Linked DNA regions of Drosophila melanogaster. Changing the gene in region 3 together with the main gene of any one other region gives a genetic interaction. Each region holds a gene or a part of one and is shown on either strand. Other genes may lie near its edges.

What was found.
Region 1: of Doa (region 3) and tra, changing one suppresses a phenotype caused by changing the other (phenotypic suppression), as found in Drosophila melanogaster (2 studies listed by BioGRID).
Region 2: of Doa (region 3) and bam, changing one suppresses a phenotype caused by changing the other (phenotypic suppression), as found in Drosophila melanogaster (one study listed by BioGRID).
Region 4: of Doa (region 3) and E2f1, changing one suppresses a phenotype caused by changing the other (phenotypic suppression), as found in Drosophila melanogaster (one study listed by BioGRID).

What each region holds. Positions count from the first base shown.
Region 1 is NT_037436.4:16,589,559-16,592,639, forward strand, and holds tra (transformer), read right to left. Parts: upstream 1,493-3,081; 5' UTR 1,486-1,492; coding exon 1,446-1,485; intron 1,373-1,445; coding exon of another isoform or gene 1,302-1,372; exon of another isoform or gene 1,198-1,301; coding exon 794-1,197; intron 737-793; coding exon 587-736; 3' UTR 501-586; downstream 1-500. Other genes in the region: l(3)73Ah (lethal (3) 73Ah), read left to right, coding at 91-216; spd-2 (spindle defective 2), read right to left, coding at 1,846-3,081. UniProt on the Drosophila melanogaster protein: Member of the regulatory pathway controlling female somatic sexual differentiation, regulated by Sxl. Activates dsx female-specific splicing by promoting the formation of a splicing enhancer complex which consists of tra, tra2 and sr proteins.
Region 2 is NT_033777.3:25,241,611-25,248,032, forward strand, and holds bam (bag of marbles), read right to left. Parts: upstream 3,500-6,422; 5' UTR 3,367-3,499; coding exon 2,879-3,366; intron 2,815-2,878; coding exon 2,444-2,814; intron 2,383-2,443; coding exon 1,913-2,382; 3' UTR 1,429-1,912; downstream 1-1,428. Other genes in the region: CG11854 (uncharacterized protein), read left to right, coding at 448-517, 594-831, 898-1,037, 1,100-1,404; RpS27 (ribosomal protein S27), read right to left, coding at 4,743-4,771, 4,838-5,057, 5,823-5,828; Nup37 (nucleoporin 37kD), read left to right, coding at 6,353-6,422. UniProt on the Drosophila melanogaster protein: Regulatory component of a deubiquitinase complex consisting of bam and otu. The complex deubiquitinates K63-linked polyubiquitinated proteins, antagonizing the ubiquitination activity of Traf6 and regulating the IMD immune signaling pathway.
Region 3 is NT_033777.3:28,900,367-28,907,229, reverse strand, and holds the start of Doa (darkener of apricot), read right to left. Parts: upstream 3,753-6,863; 5' UTR 3,655-3,752; intron 1,592-3,654; exon of another isoform or gene 1,468-1,591; 5' UTR 1,423-1,467; coding exon 1-1,422. UniProt on the Drosophila melanogaster protein: Dual specificity kinase involved in the negative regulation of microtubule-based transport through phsophorylation of the microtuble-binding protein eEF1gamma.
Region 4 is NT_033777.3:21,628,967-21,635,721, forward strand, and holds the start of E2f1 (E2F transcription factor 1), read right to left. Parts: upstream 4,108-6,755; 5' UTR 3,958-4,107; exon of another isoform or gene 3,167-3,957; intron 1-3,166. UniProt on the Drosophila melanogaster protein: Transcriptional activator that binds to E2f sites. Required for wild-type growth in mitotic and polytene tissues, Contributes to the expression of replication genes at the G1-S transition and Cyclin E.

The DNA.
Region 1 (3,081 bases), on a different chromosome or scaffold from region 3:
AGTAACTGCTCTCAGTGAAAGCTCAGACTGGCTTAGTTACTTGTATACATGGCACATACTTATATGATAACTACGTATCTTATCTTTCAGATCGACATACTGTGCAACGAGGAGCTGCTCGGCAAGGATCACACGCTGAAGTTCGTCTACGTGACGCGCTGGCGCTTCCGGGATCCGCCGCTTCGGCTGCAGTTTCGTCCGCGGGTCGAGCTCTAACCACTGTTTTAGTATAATGCCACAACAAATGATCTATTTTTATAATTTATTGACAATGCGTAAATATCGTAATTAGGAGAGTCGCTAGTGTTAGTCCCCTCGAAACCATGAGTGTATGTGTAAATGTGCATGTATAAAGTCGTAAATATATGGTTATCCCTCCTAGAATTAAGTAACTTCCACTTCCTAACTCGTGTGACCCTTTTTTTGCCGCCTTCTTTGCTGCATTTGCTCATGATTTAATCAACGTTCTCCGTTTGCAATATTTTATGTTCTCCATTTTTAGTTTGAAATATATATGTATTTATTATTTTAATGTACAAAACACACGAATGTAAATAAATTTGTAATTATGTCGAATGGAGTATGTTCAATATGGGGGACGCCCCGCGTTTCTGTAGCCAAATCGCGGAACTCCAATGAACGGCGGTCGCTGGCGGTATCTGTAGGGGGCCGGTGGAAACGGCGGAGGACGTGGTAGCCTTTGGTATCCAAAACTTTGCTGCATACCAGACATCCCCTGCAAAATCGATTTAAGTTAGATTTGTTATTTGTTTCAATACAAATAACTACTAACGTAGAAATCCTGTGGTGGCACTTGCACATAGTAGTTGATGATCTTTGGCGGAGGATTATACCGATGCGGGCTCCGTTGACGGCGTCTTCGTTCACTGCTGCGACTTCGGCTATGTTGACGGCGTTTTCGTTCACTGCTGCGACTTCGGTTGCGATTGCGGCTCCTAGAGCGCTGGCGATGCCTTCTGTGCCTGCTCTCTCTGATGGACGACTGTGATCTGGATCTGGAGCGAGTGCGTCTGGTGGATTGGTGCGCTCTTTGGCGCAATCTTCTCAACCGATCCTGTTCTCGAACCTCGTCTGCAAAGTACGGAATCTTGTGCTCCTTCTTTCTGCTGTCCCTCTCGCTTGATCGCCCATGGTATTCTCTTTCTCGCCGGGATCGAGACCTTGAGCCACGGGAATCTATGTGAAAAGAGTGTGCGGTTAGTCAATGCATCTAACGCATAGTGTTTGGCGCATCGTCGGAGACGGAATCCACGTAATGCGCAGTTGAGAGTCCTATTGTCCTAGCTTCTCTTTCTCTGTCTGGTCGTCCAGCGTTCATTCTCATCCATTTCACATTTCACACAATATGACACTAGAAAAAAAACAACAAAAAGATGGCACTGGATCAGAATCTGATCAGATCGGTTATACTATATAGTGGGTACCTCGATGCTGGGTTCCACTGCTGTCGGCATCCATTTTCATCGGAAAATGCTGGAAATTAAATGATGCACTTTCCTCAGTGTGACCGTACTCGGCTTGCACCTTGCAATGTGCCCGCCAACTCACTTTTCGACGAACTATCGCTACATATACGTTACTTTTTGAATATTCGAGAGCAACATATCAAAATTTAAAATTAACTCATATACTTTATTAGTTTTTATTTAAGCTAAATTCAACTTTTAGGAAACAAGCGAGTATTTTAACTTTAGGGTTATGCGTTTTCCTTACAAATACTCTGCAAACACGGTTTCATTTCACAAGTACACAATACAATTTTTGTTTAAACTAACTACACAAACATAGGGAAAGCAGAATTAGCAGGCACAAATAAAACAAATTTTAAAATTTAAAACTAATCGGGACACTGATGCGCTCGTTTTCCATGGAGACCACAATGAGCGGCTCCCTTTCGAGCAAATCCTGCCTGGGTGAGCGGAGCAGGCGCACATCGATCTCCGCGTGGCCGCCATCCGGGGATACGTAGCACTCACTGGGACTGATTCGCACCAAATCGGGCACATTGCATGTGACCTCGATGAGCTGCCTGGAGCAGAAGCTGTTGGTTACGGACAAAGTGGCCAGTGGCGAACAGCCCACTCCGAATTCCAGCAAACCTGGCTGCACACACCAGTTTTGCTCGACGGGCGTCAACGTTGTGGTGTCCGCCTCCAATAGCTCATCCACTGGCTCCAATAGATGGCTCTGCGTTGGCGTCGGCGAATTGGCCACACATATGGTGCGGAATAGCACGGTTTCGTCGGCCTCCGGCAGGAACATCAGGGAACTCTCAGACGATTCATCAAAGTCCCGATTGAGGGTAAGCGCAACATCAATAATCCGCACTACTGTGACCAAGTCCAGAATAAACTCTGGCGGTTCGTTCAGCTGACCGATGTTGCGCACTGGCTGCTCGTCCGGAAATTCGCCCCAAATGCTGTCCAGCATCGGCGATGTGAGTTTCTCTCGCTGTCGGCTGCTCATCCTTTGGACCAAGCTACGCATACGCTGTCTGTTGGGCTCGTCTCCGCAGAAAATCCGCATATTGGCCAGGGTCAACACCTGTGCGGTCTTCTTAAGTATGTTCTTCAAGTCCTCACGATTCGGTCGGAAAAGTATCTGCACGCAGCGCTCGCTATTTGGCGGCAATATCAAGCGGCTCGGACGTACCTCGAAGGCCTCGCTGAGGCGCAGTTTCATGAGCACGGTGGAGTCCACTGATATACCAACGAAAGCGGTGAGAGGGCCCTTGTTGTGAAACTTGAGATTCGCCGAAAGCGGACCAGCGGACAGCTCGCATACATCGCCGATGGTAAGGAAACTGGCGCCCACCGGTCCCTTTAGCAGACCGTTTATGGTGATGGACGCACTGCCCCCGTAGCCGTACAACGGAATCTCTAGGCCCGGCTGGTTGCTGTTATGCGCTCCTGGTGGTGCATAGAAAGACAAGGCTCCGATGGCCGCTCCACAGACAGTGGGGCAAAAGTTGATCACTACCGAGCGGCATTCCATGGCTTGGAGTGTGATCGTGCTGCTGTCGGTGCCCACCAGCTGGAATCCGGGTCCCTGGATGCCAAG
Region 2 (6,422 bases), 3.7 Mb from region 3:
AAAAAAGCTTGATAAACAATCTTTGTTGACTTAGCCATTAATTAGACGTTGAAACGGGAATTAATGTGCGTTTTGGGGAAGGCCGATCCAATTTGCATATATCGAGCAAATTGCACCCAAAACGCGATTAGGAGCGATTGAATGGGACGGGGTCGATGTCTGGCTTGGGAGTTGGGAACTTGGGAGTTCATTAAAGGGAATCGTAAAATGAATTCGCCGGCTATAACCAGCCACTTTGCCATACAGCCAGCCTGCCGGTTTCGGTTTATAATCCATTTAACTGACTCAACTGCCAAACGGTCTAAAGTCAAATTCTGTGCGGCTGAAACGCAAAAGCGGTTTACGGCAACAAAAACATGATACATTTCAATTGACGAAAGTGACTATATAAGTGTTAACGCCCGCGGCTAATGGATCAGTACTCGATTACGTTCGCCGCCAGCAATTATGGAGCTAACTCTCGCCCTCGTCCTGCTGTTCGGATGTGCGTCCACCTACGGACACGCCTCCGATTTCCGTGAGTTGCACACACCCCCTTTCCGTAATATATAATGTTTATGTATATTTCACAATCGCCACGCCCCAATTTACAGCCTCGGGCATCGAGAGGTGCGCCATAATGGACGAGCAGTGCCTGGAGGACAGGGTGAACTTCGTGCTCAGGAACTACGCCAAAAGCGGTATCAAGGAGCTGGGCTTGATCCCCCTCGATCCGCTGCACGTCAAGAAGTTCAAAATCGGACGCAATCCGCACAGTCCGGTCAACATCGATCTCAGCTTCCACGAGATGGACATCTTGGGTCTGCATCAGGGAGTTGCGAAGCGAGTGAGGTGAGTGGATCCTCATTTCATTTTATGATCGCTCTGCTTACTACATTTTTCTGTTTCGGATTTTAGCGGATTCACAAGGGATCTCAGCCGCTCCATCGAGCTGGTCATGGAAGTTCCAGAAATAGGAGTCAGAGGACCCTACTCGGTGGACGGAAGAATACTCATTCTGCCCATCACCGGAAATGGCATTGCTGACATACGCCTCAGTAAGATTTGCCTCCCACAGCTTTGAAATCTAAAATTTTTAATGTGTTTCTGGAATTCGCAGCTAGAACAAAGGTACGTGCACAGATCAAATTGAAGCGCGTCTCCAAGGGCGATCATCAAACCTACGCCGAGGTGATGAACATAAAGGTTGAGCTGGATCCATCCCATGTGACCTACCAGCTGGAAAATCTGTTCAACGGCCAGAAAGATCTCAGCGAGAACATGCACGCGCTTATCAATGAGAACTGGAAGGACATCTTCAATGAACTGAAACCGGGCATTGGCGAGGCCTTCGGACTGATAGCCAAGTCGGTGGTGGACAGGATCTTTGGCAAACTGCCGCTCGAACAGCTCTTTGTAGTCTAAGACCTTAGTACAAACACCCTAATTAGTCCAAACACAAATCGTAAATATTTATTTGACTTTCAAAATACAAATGCAAAGCAAATAAGAAAAACTGGTAAGTTCCTCATACAAATAAAACGTAGTTGCAAAATAAATTCAGGCACTAAAGGATTTCTTATTTCTAAAGTTTAAGTAAAATACAGATTTATAAAAGTGAAAAGCAAACACATTTGTAGTTTTGCCAAATAAATGTAAACACAGTTAAACTTATATAAATTTGTTATCAATCTCAAAACAGGGGTAATAAATCGTTTTCATTTTGATTTTGTTTGTATCGATTTGATAAATATTTTTAAAAAGCTTATATAAGCTTATTCACGAATACAAATATGGAGTCCGCACTATTGGACAAATATATCTTACACTATAGATATGTTTACTTTACGAAATTATTGCTTCCCATGAGAAGAGTAGCTTTTTTAAATTGCATATTTGCTGTCATTCTTTTATCGATGTGCACAGCATTAGTTTAGCTTCTGAAGCGAGGTACACGTCCGGTGTGACGAGGTGGCGATGATGGCACTTCCTCGGTCTCCTCAAACTCCTCCTCCGACGCTGACGGCTGCTCCATGCTCACTGCGCCAAGCTTCTGTGGCCCGCAAATGGCGACAACACTGGGCGGGAAATAGGTCTCTGGATTGGCGATCAGAGCGGAGAGGAACTCATGCTGCTCCAGAACGCAATAGATCGGACCTCCCAGTTTGTATCTCTGGGCGATGAACAGATCCTCCGCACTGATTCCACGCGCTTCGGCCGCCCTTAGCTCGGCACCGGACAAAAGGATGGCCCGCTCGTTCAACGACTTGTGGCTTTCGGTCATGGCCCCGGAGTAGCGGTGCTCCAGATCCATTTCCCAGTTAAATACGTGCACACTGAGATGCGCAGCCTTGATCCAATCGCGCAGACCAATTAGCAATCTCTCCATGCGCTGAGTATGGACTGTAAATAATAAAATCGTTGCAGGAATAGCTGAATGGTTGCTTGCAAATCTACAGCTTACACTTGTCCGCATTGCTCCCCGAGTTTCCGTTTCGATTGCGCATTTTGGGCTTTAAAAGCAGTTTGAAGTTGTCCAAATAGGATGCGAAACCCTTAAGCAACTTGTCACACTCGTCGTATTTCTCGAAATCGAAGTGGCGATTCGCCTCCAAGGTGCGGCGCTGCTGGACAAGGAAGCGCTCTACTTTGGTGCACAGCACCTGCAGTTGGTAGCGCACATTCAAGCTCTTAGGCATCGTGCTCTTCACCGGCATATCGAACAGATAGTCCGAGGGCATTGAGTTTTGGCGCGAGAAGCCCAAATCGGCGGTCAGGTGATCATGCAGGGATCTGAACAGATTCATCAAACGCAGCACGGCGTTGTGCTCTAAGCTATTGTTTAGATAAGGAGCTTTTTATTATGTGATATATTTGGGATATACTCCAGAAGACTCACCAATCGCCGTGCAGACCAATCATATGCAGTTTCTCAATAGTTATGGGCAGTTTCTCAATATTATCCGCGGACGCAGAGCCTTTACTCTTCCGGTTCCACACATTTTCCTTCTGCAGTTGCTTCTGCTTTGGCCCGGTGACCAACACGCCTCCGGATCGCGACTTCTTGGCCGGAGAACCGTCGAATGCAAAATGGCGCGAGCGCTTTTGAATCTGTTGCAAGCAATCCAAACCGTGGAATTCGAGGAGTGGTGCAGTAACGTCACACAACCGGAGTCTACCGAAGTTCTCCTGGATTTCGGATAAAACGCCCGATGTGCAGGTTGCACCATCTTCGTTCGTATCCTCGTACTCACAAGTGGCTTTCCTCGGATCTTCGTTTTCATTGCCTTCCACCATTAAGGCCAAATGCTCCTCCATCTGCTTAAAATTGTGGTCCAACTGCTGGTCGTCGTTGCCCTCAGGACACACGTCACGTGCATTAAGCATTATTCTTAAGTTAAATCACACAAATCACTCGATTTTTGCCTTTTAAATCTTTCCTTATCGCCAGGTTCTTTTTACCGTTTGAAATGCCTGACGCCACGCTGTCTGCGAATTCAGGAGAAAGAGGAAGAATGATGGCGTCCAGACTCTTTGTTGTTAACGTATCGATATCATGTCGAGTCCCAGAACAGGGTTGCCGTCGCACAAATAAGTTTCAATTTATGGTCACCTCAAAAGGTCATTGACCCGGGCGCATTTAAAGAAATTTGAAATGCGATTCAATAATCCATTACGAACTTTACATTTTAACTACAATTATACACACTGATTTGGTCGATCACAACCAAATCAAATTGCTGATTAATTATAAAACAACATGCAACAATTTAGGCCACCTATATTTTAATTATCTAGTGGTTTTGTATAAAGCAAGCCAAAGCATTATTTAACAATTTGGGATTTATCACATTTTGTATAAATTATCATATATCGTGACAATAATAATGAAGTAGCAATAACCCATTTTCATATTCAATTTGTTTTTGTAATTCTGACGACGATAAGCTTCTAAAATTGCGCGCAAATTTAGAATAATGTATGGCATCCCCACTTCCTAACATCTGGCAGCTCCGTTAATATGACAAGCTTAGCTTAGACACAAACCAGTATACATTTTACATTTGTTGGTTCGAATACTGACTAGTTAAACAACGTGACTATTTTCATTTTTTTAATTATAAATATTTAAATAAATAAATAAATTCCGCTTCCCAACTTCTATAAAACTATACACATTTGATTCAATTTTTTCCAGACTGACGCAGCAAAATTTTGGCGCTCATCCAAATAAAAATAAGACAAACAAGCTAAGTATATGCGATCCGAATAACCAACCATTCTAAAGATTTTTTGAGTCGGTTACAAAATTCTTGAAAAAATGCTGAATGCCCAATCATTAGAAGCCTCACAAAATCTCGATTTAGAGCCTATGAAACATTCTTTATTGTTGTGAAGTTAATCAATGGTTAGATCTAAGCATAACTAGTGAAAAATTCCTGAAGTTTTGCCGCACAAGGGTATTTGCACACACAAGAGCTTCCATTATGGGCGGTTTCTTATCGGGGAACCCCAGCGATTGAGCTCCACTATCTATCCTGTTGGCAATTATCCACTTTCTATAAACAAATACGACAAGAACTGTTTTTTTTTTCACTTAGCCGACCACAACATCGTTAATTCTTTAATTCACAAAGCACAATGAACCAAAGGACCGCAGCAATTGAATTACAAGCTTTCTCTCGTATGGGTTCTGTGGTTTCTTTACGTTTTAGAGTTTTTATTAAAAAATTAATAATTTGTGGTTCATCGCGAGTCCCATTTTACTGTGGCTTCCTGCGGAAGGAGCAGCCTGAAAGAAAGACATCGTTTGGGTTAATTGCGAAGGAACATTGGACAGTGAGCATTTGGAGCATACCTTCTGTCAGCTTGGCGCGTCCTCCAGTCGGCTGGCACAAAATGGTAGCGCATCCAGCGCAGACCACGACGCCTTGGGCGTGGCTGAAGACGGTGGTGATCCTGTAGCAGCCGGGGCACTTCACGTCCATGAAGTACGAGTTGGGGTGCTGGACCAGGCGCTTCAGCTTGTGCTTGCGCTTCTCCTCGGCGGGCAGAGGGTGCAGAAGATCTTTTGCTAGCTGCAAGGTGAAAATAGTTTCAAAATTAGTATAAATTCATTTAATGTATATATTATACTATATGATTACGGCCAAATGTGTTGGATTACTTCAAGCCTAGATAATCCTCTAAATCTTAGTTATAAGTCGAAATTTCTTTGGCGCCAAACGTGTTGGTCCAACTTTGATCCAATAGGAAAACCAATTCTTTATTAATTAACGAAGAAGTAACTTTCTACCAATTTAAATACTTGAAAATATATTTTAAAGTATAACTACTTTGATCTTTAAGTTCTCAATTAACAATTCATTTGGGAAATAGATAACAATAGAATTGAATACAATGTTATCAGGCCACTTGACGATTCTAAGCCAGACAATTGGCACATTTTCTCTCGGTGTATCAACAAATGCAGAGCAGACTCCAGGCAACAACAACATAAATTCGCAAATGCGTGTTCTAGGTTATGTGCAAGGATATCCGTCGATTTCACATGACAGTGCAATCAATTCCTCCTGTAAGTCCCAAGATTCCATTTAAATCTCATTTGGCCATTTCACAACTGTTTGCAATTTCACTGGCGCACGCCATGCGTGGCTTGTATCGCACACATTCAATGGAAGCGGGCCAGACATTTGTTTTACAGTCTTTCAGGGCCGTTATTATCGGCCGACACTTGCTCCGTTTACACTGGACACTTTGGCGGTAATAAGCGGCCGTTTTTGGTTATCATTCGGTTGAGTTTTCTGTGTTTAAATTCAATTTTAACGCAATTCGGAACCCACCGGCATGTTTTTTCTTTCACAGCTAACACGGAAAAGGAAGTGGGGTAAATCGCAGCCAACTTAACTTGCCCGAGAATGCACTAAATAATGCTGAACAGCTGGGCGATGGCAACTCTGCTGCTCACGCTTTCCAATACTGGAGTGTGTGTTGCTTGAGTTCAAAATTTATTCTGACTTTATTCGTGTATTAGCAATAAATTTTATAAAAAGCAAACGCTACACAGTCGATATTAGGCATTACTACTATTACTATCATTAAAAAGTTCGCCGACGTATGACTACTTAAATATTGTTATGTTTCTTTTTAAGACTAGCCATTTTTATTAAAACTTGAGGCACAATAATGTAAGCATTAAACATAATAACGAATATATTTTCGAATAACATTTCTTTGCGTATTCTGTTTTTTAAAAGTGTAAAATCTTGGAAAATTCTTCCACTGATTTTTGGTCATACTAAAATAAACATTTTTTTGGCGCCGGCTAATTGTTGCATATATCCCGCGAATAACAAACAATATTTATAGAAAGATGCGATCTGTCATCGAGCCCGACCACAGCATCCAGCTTAATGAAGCCATCTACTGCTACGATATATGCA
Region 3 (6,863 bases):
AGGACGCTGTGGCTTGACGGGCACAGGTTGCTTGGGAGCGTTTCGAATTACTTGGGGTCCAGTAAGGATGCCACCGGGACTTGGTTTAGCAGCTGGAGGAGCAGGCTTGGGTTTTGGTTTCTGAGCAGGCACGTGTTCCTTGTGGTCGCTGCGCACAATGGAGAAGTGGTACAGTGGTTTATCGTCGTCTAGAATGCTCTTTTGCGGTACAGTTTTTTTCTCCACTCTACGCAGGACGACTCCCAGCATGGGCGATTCCTTGGGCTTGATGGTTATCGATCCACTGGGCGCTGTCACCCGCTTGAGGCTCACTCCAAGGTTAGTGCCCACTGGTGGCGGTGTCTTCGTTCGATGCACCATTTTTCCACTGGGTATCTCACGGTAACCATCGTCCATTCGCCGCCGACGACGATCCTCTTCAATCTGTTCTTGAACCCTTGGATCGGGATTAGTGTGCAGAGATGGTTCGGGTGCCACCAATGGCGATGGCCCAGGAAAGAGTGATGTCAGACTGCTCCGCCGCCGGTCCATGTTAGGCGCTGACACCGTCTTAGTGAGTGGAAATTTGGTAGGCTGTGGAGGTGCTGCCATAAGTGGTGGTTCCACACCGGTGGCACTCGTGGTGCTACCACGTCGACTGCCTGCCTTGCTAGGTTGTCTGGATGCCGATGCACTGGCCGAGTCCAAGCTGCTCATGCTGGCAGAACTCTGGAGGCGATCTGGAGCAGCGCTCCTTTCGCGATTACGATCTGGCGAAATGGAACGCTCTCGACTACGATTGTGGGAACGGGCATCCCGAGCAGCTCGCTGCATTCTCAGCAGCTCAATCGAGTCAGCTATGTGAGAGGTACTCTTCTTAGGCGGTGAGTCATCTTTGGAAGAGGCCTTCGGCTGCGAAACGTTAAGAAGGTGCATCTCCATGGCATCATCTATGTTGCAGGGTAGCGAAGCAATGCGTTCTCTTGGACCTGAATTGGTTGGAAGGGAACCCTTGGTTAGTTCCTCTTCCTCATCGTTGTCGTCGTCTTCATCATCCTCCTGCTCCTCCTCTGCCTGTTGCCTGATGCGCCGTTCCTCCTCTTCCTGTTGCCTGCGTTTCTCGCTCTCCATCACCCGCTGCAGCTGAGCCTGCACCTCGAGGGCAGCACGTGCTCTGGCCTTGGACTCGGCCTCGCGGGCCTGACGAAACTGTTCCTGGGCAATTGCTAGAGCTTCCGCCTCCGCCTGTGCTCGAGATCTGGCCTCCGCTTCTGCGGCTGCTGCTGCCCTAAGTGTGGCCAAATCCGTGGCCGTCATCTGCTTTATGCTCAGGCGGCGCTCAGTATTGAGGATCAACTCCACCTGGGTGCTACCGCCCTGCGGCTTTTGCGCCGCGAGGTCTGGACAGCCAAGGGCGATCAGTTCGCTAAGTTCGTTGGACATTCCAAGGGGTGTGGTGAACTTTTCGGTTGATTGTCAGCTTTCTTTCTGGATCCCAAGGGGAAAAATTACTCGATTATCTAATATTGCACTGGCGGCTCCCTCGAATTGCGTTGGGTTCGACTAGCTGGGCAAGACTCGCGAGGCTGCCAATGTTGGCCCCAAAGGAAACCTGCGCAACATCGGATTATTTCGTATTGGTTCTATTCGGATCAGATCGGATCGGAACAATCGATCGCACGCTCAATGTCAATGTCTCATTGGCATTTTGGCAAATGCCCGACGACTTGACTTACTAATTGTATCAATGGTCGCCGTTCGACCAAAGACTGCTTCTTTTTGGCGCCCATATACATCCGACATATATATGGGTACAAGCATGTATAGCACCCCCAATTTGTTTTGGTATATAGAGCAGAGACATATACAAATTACAAATCGTAAACAGCAATGAGCTCATTGATCGCGGCGCCGCCTCATCAAAAAGCAAACCCCCTACCCCTTTGCGATTCTAGCCAAAAGATCTGCACCTTGCCCTAAATCTATTGCGATGTGTGGAATATGTGTGAATATCCCTGGAGAGATCGTTTTAGCCTATGTGTGATATCTCGGTGGGGTTCATTGGGCATCTTTCCCTGCCATTCTGTGTTCGGTTCGAAATCTGTTTTTATTTTTAACAAATGGACGACGTTATACCTAGTACACAGTACGTGTGACGCTAGTGCCAGTACAGTGAAACCTCGATCAGCCATGCAAATTGAACTGACAGCTCTCATTTGGAAGATGCATCTCTGATCTCTGATAATCACATTCGACTGATTGGATTTTTTAATTCACTTTGAGTTTCCATTAATTTTCTGATCTTTGCTGAGCTCTGGCTTAGCTTTCACTGTACCGAAAGCACACACATTCGAGTTGGAAAATCTGAAGGGGAAAAGTTTTCCACCCCAGTTGACTTTTATTTTGGTTGGCATCATCATATGGCCAAAATTTAATCATGTACAAGTTTGTGTCTTGGATTTTTGCTATAAGTTTGTTGTGGCAACTAAATATAAATGCAAGCCTTACGAAAATAGCTTTCGAAAATTATAGAAAACGCCAGCTAAGCGGAAAGTGGAGGATGGAGGGCAGCGGAAGGAGACGCCGGAGCGGCGGAGATCAACATGATGATGATGTGGCAGCCTGATGAATAATCCCGCCGATCTGTAGCGCACATATAGATAGTTTGTATCTATGTGGCACACACACTAACGGACACACACGTGTGTGCTCCATTTGTTAGTTTTGAGTTTTTGTTTTGATTTGCTTGGCCGCTGCGTTGTCTTCTTCGCCTTCATCTCCGAGTACACAGAAAACATATTCACCATATTATCTAAGCACAATAGTAACTAAACTGTTTTTACTTGTTGACCCTTAAACTTTTGGAACATAGTTAACAAAGAAATATGGTTTGAAGATATATATCATTCCATAGTCCAAAATGTTTTTAAACTATCTTCATTTCTATCTGTGTATTCGATTGAGTGAATGTTGCACTAGTCTCCTCCATCCCCATACGCTATTTCTATTAAAAGTATCTTTCGCCTCGCTAATTGCAAACTTGGTGGAGAAGTGCAAAGTTCACTATCAGCGTTTTGGACGTTTCACAGCTGCTCATCAGGCTGGATGGTATCCCACTTGATATTATTCCGAATTATACACTCGCCACCATTGGCGGGGGGTCAATAAAACAGTTTGGCTATGGTATCTTGCATCGCGTTTTGTTTAAACAAATACAGTCCGATGAATATCGCGCACTTTTTTTTAACACTCAGTGTTTTGTTTGATGTTTTTTTCGCTTTCGACAATTTTGTTCTTGCCGCACTGCTACTGTTTTATTTTTAAAACACTTAAATGTTCTAAGTTTTGGGTTGTTTTTTGTTCTTGCGCTTGATTATGTCACGGTGCCCAGCAATTGTTCTACCTATCCTATCGTTCCGAAATGCGTTTCTATATTGCACATACGCTCCGTATGTACCTCTAATTATTGTTCTATTCGATTATTTGGTGTTTCTCAGCCAAATACAAAAAGAAAAGGAATATTCAAAGCACAAGAAACGCACACACACCACACACGCACACACACACATCGATAAACAAATTGCGCGAAAGGAGACGATCAATATAGAGATCGGGGGGATCTGACCGGATAGAGAGAGACAGCGAGTGTGCGGGGGATCCCCGTGGTACCCGTACCGTTACACGACGAAGACGAAGCGACGACAATATGTAGTTTATATGGTTTATATGGCAGCAGTGGCGGCGACACACAGCCAACAAACGTAGATTTCAATCTGTTTCGGTTTCCTCGAATTTGAAAATTCTCAGCCGAAAACTGGCCGCAGATGAGAAGAGCGCAGACTTTCGGCGGCGCGTGTATTTATAATTTTCCAATGGCCACGGAGCAAATGGCAAGTAGATGCTTTTCCGCCGGATGAAGCTGCGCGCGCATCTCCGAGAAAGAAGTATCAGCTGTGCGCCATGGGCCATAGGTAGTTTAGACGAACATGCGCACAGTGCGGAGAGGAATCCCCAAGGCGTCGCTCTCGGGAGCCCATAAACATGTGTGTATTTGGGGGCATGATATAGACAGGGAGAGTGAGTGGGCACCGTGTAAAATCGGTGTATATAGCGGCGGTCAAAGCAGTAGCATTGCCAATAAATCATGCCAAAATTTCCAGAAGACTTAACATTTGTGTTTGCAGAAATTCGAATAATATATGGACGACCATTTGACTTGAATCGACATGTGTACATATATCACATATACAGATTATAACTAACAATTTTAGTTTAAAACAACGAAGGGAATTTGTTAGGATTACAATTACTACTGTACATATTTTTTTCCACAATATTTTTGAAAAAAGGTTGTGTTCCTATAAAATTGTAGGACCGACAATGCATCACGAGAAAACGAAAGATATTCGCCGACAATCTGTGACTCGGAATGGGGACGACTCACTAGATAGTCGTCATTGTGGTCCACAAAGTACTCCTCGATGATCCAATTGTCGCCGGCGTACTTGTCCACAGGCATATCGCTGAGGGCCACAAGATCAAAGTGATTACGTTGCCGTTTTAGCAGCAGGCAGCGGGTAATGGCCACGCTCTCTCCGTCACCGGGTGAAGCATCCTCCTCCAGATATGTTTCCAGGCCACAGCCATTCGCCCCATTCCGGATGATGAGCTGCTGCTCCAACTGCTTAAAATACTGAATCTTGGCGGCCTGGGGACTAAACGATGACGCGGAGGGAATTCTATGCGAGTTACTCAGCCCACTTAATTGGCGGCGACATGGGCAACTGGCAATGCTGGCGAGGAGCAGTTCGCATCATCCGCAGCAGCAATAGCAATATCTCATCACATCTCAGAGCAGCAAAGAAAACTCTGGCCGCCGTCAACGAGTTAATGTCAAATGATCAATTGAACGAAAATAACTAGAACAGCGGGGAGTGTTGGGCACAGGGGTAGCTATAAAGAACCACCAACAGTGAATGAGAACTATAAAGTTCTCGTTTAATTGAGAGCTGTTTTTCATACAGCTAGATGCCACGAAGAACGCATAGAAATTGCTTAATTTGCACATGAATATTGCCAAGGTTTCGCTTAACTGCTCTATTTAAGTACCATTTTATTACTGATGAATACAGCTCAAACCGAGTTTCCGCTCTAAGCTTTTAAAAAATGATTATCTCTTAAAATTTTGATTATATTTAAAGTGGCTACTGTTTTTTTTCAAACCTACACTTGAATAACAAAACCAATAGTTATTTGTAATTATGTAACATCTAAGTTTCTGAATTTCGACACAGTTTAAAGGCCTTGCCCAACCAAGTTACTTTGTTTCAAGTACTATCTTATCAACTCATGCTGCTCACTCAAGTGCTCCGCCTCTTGAAGCCCTGAAGCATTTATTTCCATATTCAGTTACACTGATTACAGTGACTTTCCCATGTAATCACTGTACCAGAAGACCAAGAACCAGAGCAATGTGACACATCTAATGACAAATTTAGCTCAACTCAACGCCGCATAGATAAGAAAGTAGAGAGGGATCGAGTGCAGCGGCGAACGATCATGATAGCGCGCTGATCACTTCACCGATCCACTCGAGAATAGGGTGTACTGCAAGACGCACACAAAAGTAAGGAACGATAGGTTAGTCAAAAGGAGGAGAAGGGGAAGGGGAGGTGGGTGGGTTCGATTGATAGCACAACATACATGCTTACTAGATAATCGCTGTCGTGATCGACAAAGTACTCAACGACTATCCAATCATCCGTGTACGGCATAAAACGCAGTGAACAGCTGGACAGGATCAGATCGCGACAGTGATCCACGACCGGTGGCGCCGGCAGATCACGCATCTTGATGTAGCACGGGATCTGGGAGCTCTCGAAGTGATCGGCCACCTGCTGGGACTTCTCAAGATACCGCTTGAAGAACAGCATGATGGGGGAGGAGTCGATGGAAGCGATCTTCTAGCACTGATCAGACGGACGGCACAGATTTTGGCAATGGCAGCACAAGGATTGGAAAACGCAGGTGGTGGTTAAATGAGATCGGTCCGGTGTGTTCGTATTATCTATCTGTCCGCCTAGTTTGTTCTTTTACCATTTTGTTTTGCTTTTAGCTTTCGTTTTCAGTTTGTGAATTTTCTTTGGGGTTTCCTTTTTTTTTCGTTGCCCTGCCTACAATTTTCACTTGTTTGCTACTTGTGGTGTGTATAAAATAAAAAGTTTTTACCTTAGCCTGCGACTGGCGGTTGTTGCGTCCGCTGTCGCGTTCGTCCTTGGCGCGATCACGGTGCCGCCGGCGGGAGCTCGAATGGGACGTCTCGTCCCTGTAGCGGTATTTGTGCTGCCGTCGACTGGCGGCGGGCGACTTGCGGTGCGAACGCTTCGAACGCTCCTTGCGTCGGCGGGTTGAGATGCTGTCATCGAAACTGCAAAAAGAAAGGTGTCCGGTTAGTTCGATCTCTTGAGGTATTACCTAACCAACCACCCGGCGACAGCAGATGAATGGCCGTCCTTGGAGCAACGCCCAGCGGCGTGGACAACATGGAAAGCTACTTAGCTACCCAGCCAGCCAGCCACTCAGATTCTCAGCTACTTAGCGAGTAAGCCGCTCCACGCTCGCCTTGCCGCCGGATTCTTAAGCCAGGCAGCCGGCACCTAGTGCGAGACGTGTGTTGGCGAATCGGTTTTGCGTTACCAATCAAGTTAATCAACTCGGCCGGATGGCTACCTCAGCTGGTACTGTTACTGTTGGCTATCTGGTTGGCAGCGGCCCACCTCTACCGTCGGCCAAATGCCTTTGAGAGTACTTCATGGTTCGAGGAATGACACAATGTGAGGCAATCGCCAGTTTCTGAGTGAACCCAGCGACATAGCACCCTAGAC
Region 4 (6,755 bases), 7.3 Mb from region 3:
GAGGAAGAGTGGGGGAGGTGTACCAAAAAAAAACCAGGTAGGTCTCGCCGATTGAAATTTCCAATTTAAATTTCTTTTGATCGGCACGCAAAATGCGAACAAGTAGCTCGAAATATTTTGCATCTAAAATTACAGTGGGACGTATAAAATTACTCAAACAACACAATTTAACAAGAAAAAACAGGGAGGGCGGATTAGCAAGCCTTGAGATCAAACAAATAAAATGCAGAATAAGATCAAGCCTTACTTTTAAAGGGTTATACAATTTGTGGGTCTTCAAATACATGCGATATGATGGCCTTTTGAGGCCCTAAAATTGCATCATTACATTACATTTTATTATTATGCAGGGGTTACGAAGGGGACATCTCTATCTTATCAACAGTAAGAAATTGCTTCACAGCTTGACACAGCGTTTTTATTTAATGGATAGTTAAAATGTACACGTAATTACAAATTAACAAGCTCACTCATGATTCTGTCATCACTATTTATTATACTACAAAACTTGTTAGACGCTTTTCAAGTTTCTCCAAACAATAGCCACTGAAAAATGTATTTCGAAGATAAAATATCTTTATCTTTATAATAACAACTTCTAAGTGCACTTGTCAGTCATCTCTGCATACATTTATCTAACTGCTGAAGGCGAAGCACAAAGCGAAGCAAACAGAGAAAAAATAACATTATGCAAACAGGGAAATGAACATGAAAATACGAAGCGGCCAGTGGAATATCGTGGAAAATGTGGCCTACACGGCAAAGAAATAACAAGTTTTTCTTTATTTTTCATTGTTTCCTTCTCTTTTTCCTATCTCTACGTTTTTCAATCAACATTGGCGCAACAGAGCGGAGCTACAATAAAACCTAGAATAGCTTTTCCTTGCTTTGCTTTTGCTTTGCCCGTACAACATTTGTATGACTGATAAAGAAAAGGCTAGAAAATAAAACGTACACATTATGTAGTGGCCGAGTAAATAATTCCGTTGGGGGTTTTCAGTGGGCGGGGAGGGGTGTTTGACGGGGGAGGGAGGCAGCCAAGCGACTCAGGGCACGCAATGCGACTTTTGATAGCGCTGCCGCCTCCCCTCCCTTCACCTTTTCACTGCCACTACTCTGCTCTCACGTTCTCCGTGTTAATTTCGAATTAGTATAGCAACAATAACCGGCCGCAAGGTGTAGTGAAGATTGTTAAATTAACGGATCTTTACTCTTTATAACTTAAATTTAGTCTGCCCCCGAATAATAAATATGCCCAATTGCAGACATGAAATCTCAATTCACTAATTAATAAAATATTAGCTAAAATCCCAATTCGAATGCAACTAATGGCTGGTATTTAATTTGCAGCCATAACTGTATTCCTCTGGCATGCCAATTTACCGTTATTAATTATGAAGATCATGCATTTACATGGCTATTAATTATATACGTTGTTATGTATGCAGACTCACGCACACACAGGCATAAGCACAAGCACACGAAAACATACATATGTATGTACATGCATGCTCACTAACACCCACACAGATACCAAGAGCTAATAAAAAGTTTCGCTTTCTTTTTGCACATCATTTTGCATGCGCAGTAAAAAGGCAGGGACAAGTGAAATAAATACAAATAAATAATGTGCGAGTGTGCAAGGTGTTAAGCAACAACAATTGCAATAGAGGGAAAAAAGTGAATCAAAAGCCAGAAAAAGAGGAAGAACACGAATTTTGTGTATTAAGCGGCAGTCCAGAGAGAGAAAGAGAGAGTCTCCCACGGTGTGTGTGTGTGTTGGAGGGGGATGCTGCTAGGGAAAAGAGACTGAGAGTAAAAGCCGGCCTGAATCCGAATAACAGCTGTTACTCACAGACACAATCCACATGGAACATCTCTCTTCATCTTTTTGTTGTTGTTGGTCCCATGGATGCTTTTTTCTAGCCGGTTTTATTTTCTCTATCATCTTTATTTCATTTGGTCAATTACACACACTTGGCTTCTTTCTTATGAACCGCAAGGACCGAGACAGAAGGCAGCCACTTAATTGCACACTTACAGAAATGAAATAAGGTAATAGTAATATAAAATAAAACGGCTGTAAGCCTCGCCTTAGCTTTTTTCGTTTGAGAAAGCCAAAAATAATTGCCAACTGGCCAAGTCAAGAAAAAGAGAACGAGTAAAAGAGAAGGCGGCTTTTTGTCCAGGGAGAGGCGCACAAAATGCGTCGCAAAATATTTCGCCCACAGAAAACTGCAAACATAATGAAAGCCCGGGAAAGGAAAAATTATTGCGTGGGTGTGGAATATCAATGCCGGCAAGGAAAGCAGAATGAATTCCAGGGAAGTCCCCTTTGCGTTTCATACACCAAAATTTTGTACATAATGTACAAAACTTCATTTCGCCTGGCCATTTACGCGATGACGCATTTAGAGCCAATCGAATATTGTGTACTCACAAGGCCTGATAACAGGGGCCACACATAATGTACACACTATGTGGTGCAGTCGTCAAGTACATGCACAGATTAAAGCGGAAAACTGTTGATGCAAGTCCAATTAACCCGACGAAACTGGTAGAAGTAACCGGCAAATTCAAGACCACAGAAAATATTAAAGAGACAAATGATCTGAGATTTTAAAACATTTAGATCACTTTAATTTGTAAAACAAACACATTACCTAATTATTACATGTCTATTGAACATTTCAGTTGATATTTATGACTGCAGTGCAGCTTTAATTTTGCATTCCTCAGTATCCACGTCAACACAAAAACGCCAGTTAGTTGGCTAATATTGTGCTGGACGGTTTTACACAATTAATTTTAACTTGAAATGTATTTTTGTCCATATCTTCGAAGAAAAACCACGAGTTCTTCAAACTGTTACCTGCACTGTTGTCTTAACATCTAGTAAAATGTTAATCTGGGGGGCGCCATAAAGAAATCGCCGCCGACTTTGGGCAAATAGAAATAAAAACTGATGGACTCCGAATTTTCGATTCGTTATCTCTGAAAACTGGAGCGTTGGGGGATTGAATGAGTGAGCGAATGACTGCTATTCACCGTATCGGTTTTGGAGGTTATTAGAGGGCTTAGCCCAAAATTGAATGATTAATTGATCATCAAAGGTGAGGTGGAAACTCCCTTTGCTTCTTTTTTTTTGTCTTGTTTGAATACGCACCTAAAAATGGAATTTTTGTTGGTTTTACTTGCTTTCTATATATCACACGCAACCACAACAAATTGCTCTGCTTTTTTTTCCACCGCCGCCTGCTTCTTCTTGCTCTTTTTGAATATCACACACGTTTCATATTTGCAAATTTTTCATTTTTTTGCGGGCGTTTTGCCTTTTCTGTCGGTTACTTTTTGTATTCCACGTATAATGTGCTGCTGCTTCTTACTCGTTTGACTCAGTCTGTGTGTGTGCGAGTGTGAGTACGTCGGTGGTGTGGGAACTTTTAACTTTACTACGCGACGTTTTCGTTTCTCTTCTTTATTCTCTATATATTCTACGATTCTGTGCGTGACGTCAGCAGTTCGAGCATTTGTTGTAGATATCACATAATTGTTACACGCCCGCACTTTTATTTTATTTTATTCTTGATTTTTTAGAGCATTTGCTATTGCTACTCAGCGACTTGAATCTTTTACTTGCAGAGGCAGTCTTTTGCGGCTTTTTGGTTTTTCTCTCAGTTTTCCATTTTCACATTTTTGCGGACTGGCGACGAAAAGCGAACTGAACTTGGGCCACAAAGTGTGTTGTGCCGTGTCTTTTTTGGAGTCGCCGTCGCCGGCAAAACGCAATCCACACGCGGAGAAAGAGAATCGGAGAGACACGAGATAGAGAGAGAGAGCGAGAGAGGGAGTCGTCTTACGTCAGACGGAGAAAACGTAAGCACCACCGTAATGGCACTTTTAATACCGGCCACTTACGCTTAATTAGTGTATTAAACCACATTAACTTATCAATACCTCAGTCTTGTACTCTTTTCAGTTAGCTTTTCTATTTTTTTTCGGATTTTTCCGTCGATTTTCCCCTCGTAACGTGTTTTCTGCTCGCACATGTGTGTGGGGGCGGCAGCGGCAACAGCAGCGTCACGACGCGACAACAACACTGAACGCGGCGAATCGACAGAACAAGCAACGAGCCACAAAACGCACGGCGTCTCTTGTAGCGGCGAATTTGAGGCGTCAGCAGCTGAGCGCTCGCGGCACGAGAGAGTGAGAGCAGAAGAGAGTGGATCGTAAATTGAGTGGAGACAAAACTGATCAAACGATAGCTATTCGATATTACGATAGGTTGTCAATTCAAAAGGGAACGAATATTTTGGGTTATTAATATTTTGCAATGAATAAATACATTTGAGTGTTAAAAGAAAAATATAATTATTTATAAGCGAAGTTAAATACCTATAACAGCGCTGTTAATCACTTCCTGAATTGTTTTTTAAATGCTACATTATTTTACCTAATATCAGCTTTTAATTAAATCTTTGGTCCAAGTTTTATTTGAAGTTTTTAATTTTAAAATTCTGTTGATATAAAAACTAATGCTTGAAGCTAAGAGAACCACGCTAATTGCAGCGAATTAGCGGCAACAGCTGAGCACGAGAGAGAACGAATGTGGAGAAGGGGGCGGAAAGCGAAAGCGCAAGAGGGTGGAATGTGAGTGGCGCCGCTTCCTACTCTTCACATGTGGCATGTGGAAGCCAGACTCGAATGTTCGGTGAGAGCGGCTTTTGCTTTTGGCCCCCAACCCTTTTCGCTCTCTTCGGCTTGCCGGCTACAAATCGGCTAAAAATCGCTCAGACGGAAGTGGCGACGTCGCTGTTACCGCACCCACATCAACAGCGACGCCGGCAGAGAACCTTTCCCCTCCCGCTCAACCAACCGCTTCACCATCTTCTTTATCTTTATCAGTTGTGTGCCAAGTGTTGCATTGCGTTGCAGTGACGACATTGTTGTAGTTGCAGCAGCACAGCAGCGTTGCCGATTTTCAGCGCCCCATCAACAAGGGGTACACTTTTTAAGGCCGGAAATAGGCATTAAATGGGTCTATCGCATAACTCGACACTGTCGCACACAAATCTATTAATTTCTACGTATCATAAAAATTATGCCTGAGATTAAAGCCAAGTATGCTCATCTCACAGCTCACAGCTTAATCATATAATATACCTTAAAGATTTGCAACTTTATAGAGAAAAGTTAGTATTTAATTAAGTAAATACTAACTGAAGTGTAAAAATTCACCTATTTGCTGAGCAACTGACCTGATTAAAGAAACCTGCTCAAACATTTGACTTTCCATTCTTATATTATTTGTTATTCCACTATTAATCTACTTTAGTGCAAAAGCACTTTCTACTAAACAAACAATACTCATACATTCTGGAATAATGCAAAGTTTGTACTCATAAATATCCCAAAATCGCTACCATGTCACTTTTTCTAACAACAATCTGATTAAATATTTACAACTCATGCCCGCTGCCATTTGCATTCCTGGTTTTGTGTGCACAAATGTATCTCGCAAATCAGTACAACTTGCCAGGCGATCTGCGCAGTGTTTCCCATTCCCATAATCCCAAGCCCAGTAACTGAGAAACATCCCCCCCCCCTCCTACCAGAAATGTAATCTCCTTTCCAGTTTTCGATTTCTATTAACTTTTTAGGCAGTTTTTTTTTTTGGATTCGAGGCTGTTATCCTTTGGGTTTCTCTTGGGTGGGTTGCTGAGGCGAGGACACTCACAGATCCGTGAGTGTGATTTTTTTCACATTTCCCATAAGCCAGACCGGCAGACAAGAAGAAGAAGAAGAAGAATGAGAATACGAATATGAAGAAGAGGGGCGAGAATCACCCCTCACGGACGCAGAAAGAGAGGAAGAACTTTGGCCCCTGCGCCTGCCCCTTCCCCCTTCCCATCCCTTGCCCAACACATATGCAATTAGAGTATCTCTATGCTTGATTTTTTTTCAACCATTTTCTGCAAGATGGTTTTTTTTTTTCGCCTACCAGATAGAAGAGCGCAAGCGGGAACTTCCCACGATCCTTGGGTGGACTTTTGTACTTTGGAAGACATTTTATGTGCGCAGTGTCATAAATACTTTTAATTAACTGGAAATGCGTGTGCGAGTGCTGGCTTCTTTTTTTTCCTGCTCTTTTTTTTTTTTGCTTTTCTGTTTTTGTGTGCTCTTGTGTTTTGTGTTTGCCAGCCGTTCGTGAGTATCTGTGTATCCGTTTCTGCCCATTCCAGATACCCGAAAGCGGGCGTGAGTTTCCAGAGGCGTATTTACCATAATTTGCTTGATTTTTTCCCGTATGTCATATCATAAAGTCTTGCGGGTGGGCGAGGCGAGAGGGTGGGTGGGGTAGTGGCAGACAATGCGGTGGCATAGATATGTGGCTAGCACAAGCGTTGCGCACATATTTGAGCAGATGTTTCTCCTTTTGGACTGGATCAATGAACTCAATAGTCCAAAAATTGACTCAGACACTTGTGGCACTTTTGCTACGGGTGCGAATGACTGGGGAGGTTGTAAAGAGCTTTAAGCCACTAAGATAAAATAAAATATTAAAACATAACTATAACAAACAAGTGATCATAATAATCACTCAGTTCCCCTGGAAAGTATGCTACAGTTTTTTTCATTACCTGAACTCTGGGAAAATGTCAAACTCTGAGAATGTTGACGTTGAAACATAACGCCTAGGAATAGAATTTTGTGCATTATTTTCTTGCATTAAATCCAGCTCTAATACTAGTTGT